3 linked regions of the Canis lupus familiaris genome follow. The protein of the gene in region 2 purifies or fractionates together with the protein of the main gene of each other region. This does not show direct contact. Links are inferred from orthologs where the notes say so. Each region holds a gene or a part of one and is shown on either strand. Other genes may lie near its edges.

Evidence for each region.
Region 1: the proteins of DTL (region 2) and CUL4A purify together in Homo sapiens (affinity purification with western blotting; 15 studies listed by BioGRID and IntAct, with this or other methods). This does not show direct contact. The link is inferred for Canis lupus familiaris from reciprocal best matches to the Homo sapiens genes DTL and CUL4A.
Region 3: the proteins of DTL (region 2) and COPS5 purify together in Homo sapiens (affinity purification with mass spectrometry; 6 studies listed by BioGRID and IntAct, with this or other methods). This does not show direct contact. The link is inferred for Canis lupus familiaris from reciprocal best matches to the Homo sapiens genes DTL and COPS5.

Annotation. Positions count from the first base shown.
Region 1 is NC_049243.1:60,780,770-60,784,520, forward strand, and holds the start of CUL4A (cullin-4A), read left to right. Parts: upstream 1-1,097; 5' UTR 1,098-1,114; coding exon 1,115-1,268; intron 1,269-1,758; coding exon 1,759-1,874; intron 1,875-2,530; exon of another isoform or gene 2,531-3,751. Other genes in the region: PCID2 (PCI domain-containing protein 2), read right to left, coding at 544-579. UniProt on the Homo sapiens protein: Core component of multiple cullin-RING-based E3 ubiquitin-protein ligase complexes which mediate the ubiquitination of target proteins. As a scaffold protein may contribute to catalysis through positioning of the substrate and the ubiquitin-conjugating enzyme.
Region 2 is NC_049228.1:10,193,354-10,197,004, forward strand, and holds part of DTL (denticleless protein homolog), read left to right. Parts: intron 1-1,167; coding exon 1,168-1,241; intron 1,242-2,834; coding exon 2,835-2,938; intron 2,939-3,228; coding exon 3,229-3,333; intron 3,334-3,651. UniProt on the Homo sapiens protein: Substrate-specific adapter of a DCX (DDB1-CUL4-X-box) E3 ubiquitin-protein ligase complex required for cell cycle control, DNA damage response and translesion DNA synthesis.
Region 3 is NC_049250.1:17,041,868-17,045,518, forward strand, and holds part of COPS5 (COP9 signalosome complex subunit 5), read right to left. Parts: coding exon 3,629-3,651; intron 2,133-3,628; coding exon 2,004-2,132; intron 1,304-2,003; coding exon 1,238-1,303; intron 658-1,237; coding exon 572-657; intron 1-571. UniProt on the Homo sapiens protein: Probable protease subunit of the COP9 signalosome complex (CSN), a complex involved in various cellular and developmental processes.

The sequences.
Region 1 (3,751 bases), on a different chromosome or scaffold from region 2:
CGGCCGGAGTGCTGCGTGGAAAGGCTCGGCGTCTGGGGCCAGAAGCTCGGGTCGGAACGGCTGCCCCTGGACGGCCGCGGCACCGCCTCCAAGGAAAAGTGCGAACTAGGGGCCGCCGTGCACCACGGTAAGAGCTCGCCGGCGCGGGAACGAGGGGCGCGGCCGAAGCTGGGGCAGACCCGGCAGGGCGGGCGGAGACCGGACTCGAGGCGTGGGGTCGCGGGTCTGAGCCCGGCAGGCTCGCCCTTGCGCCTCCCCAAGCCCTCGAGGGCTTTAAGACGCACATAAGACGCCAACGAGGGCCTGTAGTCCAACGGGTTCTCAAAGGCCCACCCCGCGGGCACCGTCAGAGGAGAGGCCCGAGGCCCGCGGCGGGGCGGGGGCGGCGGCGGCGGCGGCTGCGGCGGCGGCGACAGGAGCCCCTAAGCCCTCACGGTGCCCCCGAGGACCGCCCCCCCGGCCACACCCCCGAGCGGACGCCGGTGGAGCTTCTCGCATCGACTCCCGCCGGCCCACACCCGCGCCCCGGCCCCGCGTACCCACCTGCTGCAGGTACTGGTTGATGGTGATGTGCGCCATGGCCGGACCCCCCGCGGAAAGTGGGCGTGGGCGGGGCCTGCGCGCGCGGCTGCGTCCGCCTCACTTCCGGCCGCCGGTCCGTCCGGACCTGCGCGCCCCCCAGGCCCGCCTCCCCCGCACGCGGGTTCCGGAGGAAGAGAGTCCGCGGCAGCGTGCGCCCCGGGCCGGGATGGCGGCGCGCCCGGGCTGAGGAAGGCCGCGGCCTGCGCTTCGATCCGCCACCGCCTCCCGGCGAGGACGCCCGGTCCGCGCCCTCTGGGTGCCTGGGCTCCCGCCCGGGGCAAGCTGGGCCCCGCCGCCCCCCTCGACCGTTATACGTTCCACAAGGAGCGCGGCGGCCGCCGGGCGGCCCGGGGCGGGGGCGGGGGCGGGCCGGGGCGGGGGCCGGGGCCGGGGCCGGGGTCGGGGTCGGGGTCGCGCCGGGCCGGCGGGGCGGCGGTTGGGCGGCCGGGGCGGCGCTGACGCGAGGCCCGCCCGCCCGCGCGGCCGGGGAGGCGGGACGGGGCGGGGCGCCCGCTGCTTCCCGGCCGCCGCCATGGCCGACGAGACCCCCAGGAAGGGCGCCCTGTCGGCGCTGGTCGGGCACACCAACGGCCTCACCAAGCCCGCGTCCCTGGCCGCGGCCGCCGTGGCCTCCAAGCCGGGCGGCGCCGGCGGCTCCAAGAAGCTCGTCATCAAGAATTTCCGAGGTGGGTGCGGGGCGGCGGGGCGGCGGGGCGGGGCGGGGTGGGCGCCCCCGGCCGCCGGAAGTGCCCGTCCCGGGGAGAGGGGGTCCCGGGGGGGCGCAGGGGTGGGGGGAGGGGGCGCCTCCGGCCGCCGGAAGTGCCGCTCCCGGTGGGGGGGGGAGGGACGGGGGGGGCTCCCGGCCGCCGGAAGTGCCGGTCCTACGGAGAGGGAATCCCGGGGGGGGGGGGCGCCCCCGGCCGCCGGAAGTGCGGGTCCCGGGGCCTGGGGCCTGGCGCCTGGCGGGCGGCGGCGAAGGGGTGTCCGGTCCCCGGAAGCGCCCCGGCTGTGTCCCGGCTCCGGCGTCCACGCAGCGGGGGCCCGCAGCGGCCGGTCCGCGCCCGGGGCCCCCAGGACTGGGTCATTCCGGGAAGGGAAGCGGGGGGGCTGCGGGCCCGTGAGCGTGATCGTGGGCGCGACGGGGGCGCCGACCCTCACCCCGCCCCCGCCCCGCAGACAGACCGCGGCTGCCGGACAACTACACTCAGGACACCTGGCAGAAGCTCCACGAGGCGGTGCGAGCCATCCAGAGCAGCACGTCCATCAGGTACAACCTGGAGGAGCTGTACCAGGTGAGGGCCGAGGCGGACCCCGCGCGGGCGCTCTTCCCCCCCGTCGCTGCCGCACGGCCACGCGGCCCTCCTCCTCTTTATTTTCCGATCGTTGCGGTTAAGACGCGGAAACGGATTTTGTTACGTCCGAAGATGTTCCGTTTCCAACGTAATTGTGGAAAAGGAGCATTACTTTACGTATTCCGTTGATCAGCAGACCGGTTTTCCTGATAACTGGTTTTCAGAGAATAGCATTCGTTGATTAGTGCGTTACCTACCACCTACATTTTGCATGACCGTGTGATAGATACCTCCGTTTCTATGAAGACATTGGAATTAAAACTTTCTGTTTGCATAACTGTTTGTTGTAAGAACTATGGACATCACAAAAAAGGACAAAAATAAATTAAAACCACCTGTACTCCCGCCACTCAAGGAAGACCGCTATTGGCATTTTGGTGGACATCCATCCCTTCTTTGTAATAACTTTGTATGAGTTTATATTTTTTGATCGACTTTTTGAGGCATAATTTGCATAGAACCTGTACTTTAGTGACTTATATTGAGGTGTAAATGCTGTTATCATGGTAACATACAGAATTTTTTTTAAAACATTTTTAAAAATTTTTATTTATTTAGGATAGTCACACAGAGAGAGAGAGAGAGGCAGAGACACAGGCAGAGGGAGAAGCAGGCTCCATGCACCGGGAGCCCGATGTGGGATTCGATCCCGGGTCTCCAGGATCGCGCCCTGGGCCAAAGGCAGGCGCCAAACCGCTGCGCCACCCAGGGATCCCTAGAATATTTACATCACTTCAAAGAGTTCGTTCTCCTGACCTGGTCCTGGCGGATCACTGACTTCCTTGCTGTTGGTCTGTTGGACCAGTTTAAGTCTCATCGGTGGAACCTGTGTGGGGCAGTTGTCTGCACCCAGTTCCAGTAGTTTGTTTCTTTGTTGCTGGGGAGTACAGCTACAGCCTTTCACCAGGATAACTGACAGTTTGCAGTTGGTAGGAATAAAGCTGTTCTGAACCTGAAGGAATAAGTCTCATGTGGACATGGGTAAATATCTAGAAGTAGTCTCAGAGTCATAAGGCAAGTGTACATTTGACTTTAGGACATTTTCTGTTTTCAAAATGGCTATACCATCTTGTATCTGGGCAGCAGTACGTGAGAGCTCCGTTTTTCTATGTTCTTGCTAACACTTGGTATTATCCGATTTTTTAAGGAATTTTATTCACTTGAGTACACATGTACTGTTCTTTTGTATTTCCGTATGAATTTTATGATGTTTGCCAATTTCTAAAAAATAAAGCCTACTAGCATTTTGATTAGGATTGTGTCAAATTCTAGATTAATGTGGGGAACGTTGATGTCTTGATGGTACCAGGCGTGCCAACTGATGACACGGCACAGCTTTGTTTGCTTTTCCTTGATTTCTCAGTAAGGATTTCTGGTTCTGGTGTGTAGGTCTTGTACATCTTCTATGAAATACTCTTAAGCGTTTCGTACGTTTGGTGGTATTACAAGCAGTAGTATGGTATAAGTTTTAATTTCTGGTTCTTGCTAGTATATAGAAATAGAAATTGTTTTTTGTGTATCACTCTAGTACCCTGCTCTCTTGCTGACCTCGCTTCTAGTAGCTTTTTGTAGATTCCATGGGATTTTCTACCTAAGCAATCACATCACCTATGAATAGAGGTGGTTTCACTTCTTTCTAGTCTGCATGCCTTTTATTTCCTGTCTTGTGTCCCTGCACTGCTCAGAACCTCCAGAACAGTGGTGAGTAGAAGTGGTAAACCCACACTCTCTTGTTTAGCTCCTGCTCCTAGTGGGAAAAGCCTTCGGTCCTTCATCATTGAATATGATGTTGAGTGTTGGGCATTTTTTTGGTGGTG
Region 2 (3,651 bases):
ATGAGTAGAAATTGACAGGGTTAAAAAAAAAAAAAAAAAGAAAAATTGACAGGGTTAATGTGGTTTTTATAAACCAGATGGAATTAAAATGAGTATCATTTCAGACAATCTAATTCTGAGCCAAGAAAACTTGTTAACAGCAATTAGGGGTGAAATTCCATTGAACTCCTTTAAATTTTTCAGAGCATGTAATCACCTTTTTTTTTTTTTCTTGGTAGTTTTATGGTTTTATTAACACAAACATGACACGCACATAAGCTGTCTATTCATTTTCTTTGCTACACAGCCTGGCATTGGGATTGGTGTCTCTGATGGCCAGCTGGGCTGCTCTTTGCACAATGGCTTTGCAGTTCTTGGAGGATACATTGTGAGCAATCTCTGCACAATAAGATTTGTTGCACATCAGCAGCACTTCTAGCTGCTCCTTGACATTGTGGATTAGGAACTTCCTGAAGCCACTGGGCAGCATGTGCTTTGTTTTCTTATTGCTCCCATAACCAATGTTGGGCATCAAGATCTGGCCCTTGAATCTTCTGCGTACCCCATTGTCAATGCCTCTGGGTTTCCACCAGTTGCGCTTAATTTTGACATATCGACATATTGGGTCTGACTGGTGCTGGATGAACTTCTTGGTCCTCTTTTTAACGATCTTGGGCTTCACTAGAGGTCTGAGGGCAGCCATGATGCCCAGCAATTGATGGCTGCCACCTCCGCAGGCGGTGCCGAGGAAGAGAGCTGTAATCAGCTTTCATACATAATTCTTTAGATCCTCCTATATGACAGTTTAAGTAGATGGTGACATTTTATAGATAAAATAGGCACAAGAAAGTTCAATGAGTTTCCTGCAGATACATAGCTTATTAGTAGAACCGATTTTTAAGTAGAACCTGTAGATTTAGACAAATCTTTTATTTACCTGTTTTTTCCTTGAGTACAAGTCAAAAGTCAACACTACTCTAGTTAATGGTGTTTAGGTCATTTTCATGCTAAAATTATTTCTTGGTCAGTATAAATATCTGATTCAGGATTATTGGAGAGGGAAGATTTAGTCTAACTCAGAATTTGAGTTGGGGAAGCCATCATTTTAGCATATTGGTGTCTTGATTGTGAAGATTATGATACCTAAAATAGGACTTTCTTCTGTCTTTTTCTGCCTTGTCCTGTTAGGATTTCCAGCAGAGTGTTACTGTGGTCCTCTTTCAAGATGAGAATACATTAATCTCAGCAGGAGCTGTGGATGGGTAAGAGCCTTTATTTCTTGGTTCTTTTGATGAGATCTCTTTCATAAACTGTGATAGGGAAGTCACCTAGTCCCATTTTAATCGAATGTGTATGCTATTTTAACTTTCAACATAGTGAATACCCAGCTGAGATGAGGAACTACAGATCACACTGAAAAATATCTAGTTAGGACTCTTGCTCAAATAATTAAATGAGGTGATCCGTGTGTCACACTTCACACATTATATAGCACATAGGAGCAGTGTTGGCTGCTGCTGCTGCTGTAGAGAAGCTAGATGGATAGCTGTCTTGTCCATGCAGTATACTTTAGGCAGTGAGTTTCATTTTAAGGAATAAAATTTCTATTTTTTTGGATTTTTTATCTTCTCAGGTTTAGTAATACCCCTAAAAGAAGGAATCTGATTCTCTATCATGGGCATATTGGAGTATAATCTAACTATAATGATAAATCCTAATGACTTTTACATACCTGCTATCTGTGATTGGTCTGAATGTTTGGCTTCCAAATAAGTTTGTGATACTTCTTGATTGTTTGTTTTGTTACCATAAAAATTCTTTGAGTGTTTTTAAGCCCCCTTCTTCGCCCTCTTACTTGTTTGTCATATCTCTCAAGACATCCCTCCCTTTGAAACTAATTTTAAAAGATGATGGCTTAATGAACTAGGATTTCCATTGTGTCTTCTGGACACCAAAACTCCTCTGTGGACCAAATTTTCAGACACAAATGGAGGATTATCTGCTGGTTATTAATTATGCTTATGAATGGCTATGAAAGCTTGTTCTGTTTTCAAGGATACTGTACTTTTATACCAAGCTTGTGTTTTCATGTAGCCTATAAATTAGATGGTGAGGGGTCCCTGGGTGGCTCATTCAGTTAGGTGACTGACTCTTGGCTTTGGCTCAGGTCATGACCTCAGGGTTGTGAGATGGAACCCTGAGTTAGGGCTCCCTGCTCAGCAGGGAATCCGCTGGGAATTCTCTCTTTCCCTCTATACCCCTGATCCTGCTCTTACTCACTTGCTCTTTCTCTAAAAAATAAATCTTTAAATTAAAAAAAAAAAAAAAAAACACTACAAGTTGAGGATTAAGACAATTATACCAATAGATGAACTAAAAAAAATACTTTATTTCTTTATTTCACAGGAAAAGTTGTTTAGACTGGATTACTTAAGGAGTTCTATGTAGAGATAAAACCATAGGAACAGCTTGTTACTTACGATGTTAGAGGTTACATGCAGAGTGTTAAAGGTTTAGGAAGTATTTGTTTTGCTTTGTTTTTTTTTTTTTCTGAAACAATGAAACAATGATCATCAAAACCCAACCTTCATCTTCCTTTTCCGCTCCCTTGAAGTAAACTCAAGGTAACCCATCGCTGGGTCAGACCACATCTGTTTCCGTTCTGCCTGAGTTGTTAGCCTGACGTTGGAAACAACAGTATGAGATAGTTTAATCTGTTTCCCAATGAGATATCCTCATTTTACCTGGTTGATGTGCCAGAAGAGTTAGATTAAAAGTCATCTCATATTCAATGTAGTTGAAACTAGTTGGATTTGGGGGGGTTACAAAATAATTTTCTTTACCTTGGTTTTTAGGGTAATCAAGATATGGGATTTACGTAAGAATTATACTGCTTATCGACAGGAACCCATAGCATCCAAGTCTTTCCTGTACCCAGGTAGCAGTACTCGAAAACTAGGTAAGCCTTTTTTTATACCCTGTAGGACTTTTTTGGAGATGTGAGTTTTTGTTACAATTTTAAAAATAAATACCAAGGTAGTTTTCAGCAACATAGACTTGAGATTAACATATGGCTGTATCTTTTTGAAATTCAAAAGATGAAAACTCAGAAGGATATTTTTGGTTTGTATATATTTGGGGGAAGAAGAATTCTGATGATCTTGTGGAACGATCTTTTTACCTGAACATTGTTACCTCAGTTCTACTTGCTGTCATCAGGACATGCTAACTAGAGTTTTCTTTTTCTAGGATATTCAAGTCTGATTTTGGATTCCACTGGCTCTACTTTATTTGCTAACTGCACAGATGACAATATCTACATGTTCAATATGACTGGATTAAAGACTTCTCCAGGTAAGATCTTAGCCATTTAAAATTAAAATCTCTACCTGGAAAAATAAAAATAAAAAATAAATCTCTTACCCAGAAACTAATACAGAGGTTTTTGTTAATGATAACTTAATGTTGATCTTTTTTCTAAACCAGATTTATTAAAACATAGGAGGACTTTGGGGTCTTTGATTAGTTTCAATGATGTTTTCATAGATGTATTTTCTTTGTGATAATTTCACAAGCAAACAAAATCTTGCTGAATATGGTGACTTAATTTTAACAGTGAGTCTTTTCTGAAATTATGCCCATTTGACTATATTTAGAATTATCTCAATTTTT
Region 3 (3,651 bases), on a different chromosome or scaffold from region 2:
TCCATTGGTTTCAGTATGGCTTCTTTAAATTTTGGAGTGAAAATGTTTACGATGAAGTTTTGCTAAATGGAACTTGAGGGGTGCCTGGGTGGCTCAGTAGGTTAAGTGGCTGCCTTCAGCTGAAGCCTTGATCTCGGGGTCCTCAGATAGTCAGGGAGTCTGCTTCTACCTTTCCCTCTGCTCCTTCCTCCTGCTCCTGCATTTTCTCAATCTCTCTCAGAAAGAAAGAAATGAATGAATGGAACTTGGGACACTCTGTGGGCTTACGGATAAGGTAGTATCAGGCTGGCCCTGAATAAAACTTCTTTCAGTTGTTAATTTCATTAATGAGCCAAGTATCTTGTACATTGATATGTTTATGGTTGTGTGAAAGGTAAATAACATGTTACCTTAAAACAATTATTAATAAAAATTCAAACATTATCCTATCAAGTTTTATATTCTTCCTACAATTTTAAAAGGATTATGAAATGCATTCATCTGAACTTTTATTCTCATCTGTAAAATTAGGGGCTTGGACTAAGATTTCTTACGATGATTGTGGCATCAGATACATTTAAAAATGACTTACTGTTTGCAATGTACACCAAAGTCTTCTATTTTATTTAGTGGGATAGTCTGGTACTCAGAAGGTCCTTCATCAGGGGGTTTGTAGCCCTCAACAAAAATGAAGAAAATAGAAGATTAAAAAAAAAAAAGCCACATATACACACACACACACAGAAAAAAAAAAAACTTTCTATGCAGCTTTCCATTTATAGAAACATTAATTTTGAGGAGCCATGTATTGAACTTAAACATTCCAGTACAAAGTATATATATATATAAAATATATGTATATATATTATATATTTATATATTGCTTTTACTTTCCCTCAACCCCATTTGGTGGTTGATGGTTGGATTTGGTTTACAGATTCATTTTTCTTGTCCTTAGAGGATGTACACATAGGTTAATATTTATTTCAGATTACAGGGAAGGAAATAGATGTATTAGCTTGTTTGTGAAGTACCTGTCAGAATGTCATGGGCACAAAGAGACTTATTAACAAATAAAAACTGCTTTCTTAGCAATATATAGCACAAATGTGTTATCTTTCGCTTAAGACAATTTGTGTTGGTTGACTATTTTGTAAATATTATCAAATTGTTTTAGGACAAAAAGGATATTAAGCATAACATGACTTAAAAAGGAGTCATTTAAAAAATTAAAAGGACTTCGAATTTTAAAAATTACCTTTGGGTATGTCCTAAAGGCTCCAAGATTCACTTTCCCTGCAGATATTGTTCTTGTTGGGTCAATCTAAAAGAAACATATATTTATCATCTGCTGGTTATAAAATTTTTATATACTTCCATTTGTTTAAACATTAAACTTAGAAATACATATGATATATATAACACTATGCATGCATACGACACACACACAGACACACACACACACCAACATTGATTAAAATAATGAAAAAGGAATAGAGTAGGAAAGAAAATAACCAAACCAAATACCAAAGAAGTTGAATAAAGTGGTTGAGTACAGAATTCTCATAGTTAATAGAAATTATATCTAGTTATTATACTATTGAAGAATGTTATTTGAAGTTTTGCTCATCTCTTTTTCGAAAGTTTTTTTATTAGATGAACAATTTCTACCTTTCTCATAGTAATCTGGATTGCATCTAAACCACTCTAAGCATAGCAAGAGCTGCTCTATCAATTCCTGAGTTACTCAATTCAGTCAATATTACTGAATGCCTACTATGTGCAGAGAACTGAGACCTAGGTGCTGTGATCACCTTCATCTTACAGAGTGGGGGAAGAGTTGCAGAGAGGTTAGTTAACTTGTTCAGACATAAGTCCCAGCTTCTAAGAGGTGGAATTCAGATACAATCCTAGGTATAATGACACCAGACTGTTGTGCTTTACTACAGTTTTTATTTCTCAGTGTACTTACTTAAATAATTCTTCAAGAAGAACTTAATAAGACTGGTTGCAAAAATACTTACTACTACTGCTACAAATGGTTCCTGGAACTGCTGATTGAGCATCTGAGTACTAACATCAATTCCAGAAAGCCAGCAGCCATAGCCAGGATGGCTATGATACCAGCCAATTGCATTTTCAAGGCGGCCAACCTAACAAATTAAGAGGACAAAAAAGATTGAGGTTTCTGTTTAATTTTAGAGACACTTGTCATTTATTTGTTTACATAGCACTATGGTAAAATAATAGCATGCAGAACAGTTGATAGCAAATGTGGCTTTCAAGTTAAAAAAAAAAGATTATTTTGAATAGATAATACCCAAACTATAATACCTGAAACTTCAACAAGATACTAGTACAGTAAGGTTATTCAGTATCCTTCCCACCTTTTCCCTCAATAGCCAGTTTTTCAGCCCACATGTTACCTCTATAGCCGGCTGCTTACATACCTATCTTGCAGATGTATTTTTGCATATATGTAAGTTAATAGAAACACACATAATGACATACCACGTACAGTGCTCTTTGTTTTTTCAACTCGACACAATATTGTGGGGTTTGTTCCATGTAAATAAAATATACAGATAATTTTTTAATTTTTTTTTCTTTTTTCCGAAGATTTTATTTATTTGTTCATTAGAGACAGAGACACAGGCAGAGGGAGAAGCAGGCTCCATGCAGGAAGCTCGTTGTGGGACTCGATCCTGGCACTCCGGGATCACGCCCCGAGCTGAAGGCAGATGCACCCAACTGCTGAGCAACCAAGGCATTGCAATTTTTATTTTTCTTAAAGGCTGGTTTGCATTTCATTGTATGGATATACCATAATCTATTTAATCAGTTTTTTTTTTTAAGATTTTATTTATTCATGAGAGACACACAAAGAGAGACAGACACAGACAGAGAAGCAGGCTCCTTGTAGGGAGCCTGATGTGGGACCTGATCCTGGGACCGGGATCACGTCCTGAGCCAAAGGCAGACGCTCAACTGCTGAGCTACCCAGACGTCCCAAGTGTACTATCTTTTTTTTTTTTAAGATTTTATTTATTTATTTATTCACGAAGACACACAGAGAGAGAGACATAGGCAGAGGGAGGAGAAGCAGGCTCCATAGAAGGAGCTTAATGTGGGACTTGATCCCAGGACTCCAGGATCACACCCTGAGCTGAAGGCAGATGCTCAACCACTGAGCCACCCAGGCATCCCTACTTAATCAGTTTTATACTCAGGAACATTTAGGTTGTTTCCAAATTTTGGTTTTAAACATATATCTGATACTGAGTGTGAGAATTAAAAAAAATTTTTTTTTATTGAGATATAATTGATGTATAACATTGTATTAGTTCAGGTGTACATCATGAATCACTATATGTATGTACTGCAAAATGATCATTATAAAAAACGTAGTTAACATCCATCACCACACATTTGGTACAACTTTTTTTCTCTTATGATGAAAACTTTTAAGATCTATTCTCTTGAGTATGGGAATTTATTTAAAAATATCCATGCTAACCTCTTACACATTTTACATAGACACTGTTGAAAATAAAATATAAACCTTATGTAACGAGGATAGTTTAAGTTTAGAAACTCAAGAGTCTCCATGAGACTCTTAGAATTACTGAACTTTAAGCAACATTTTTACCTGTTTGGCGTTTTCGATATACG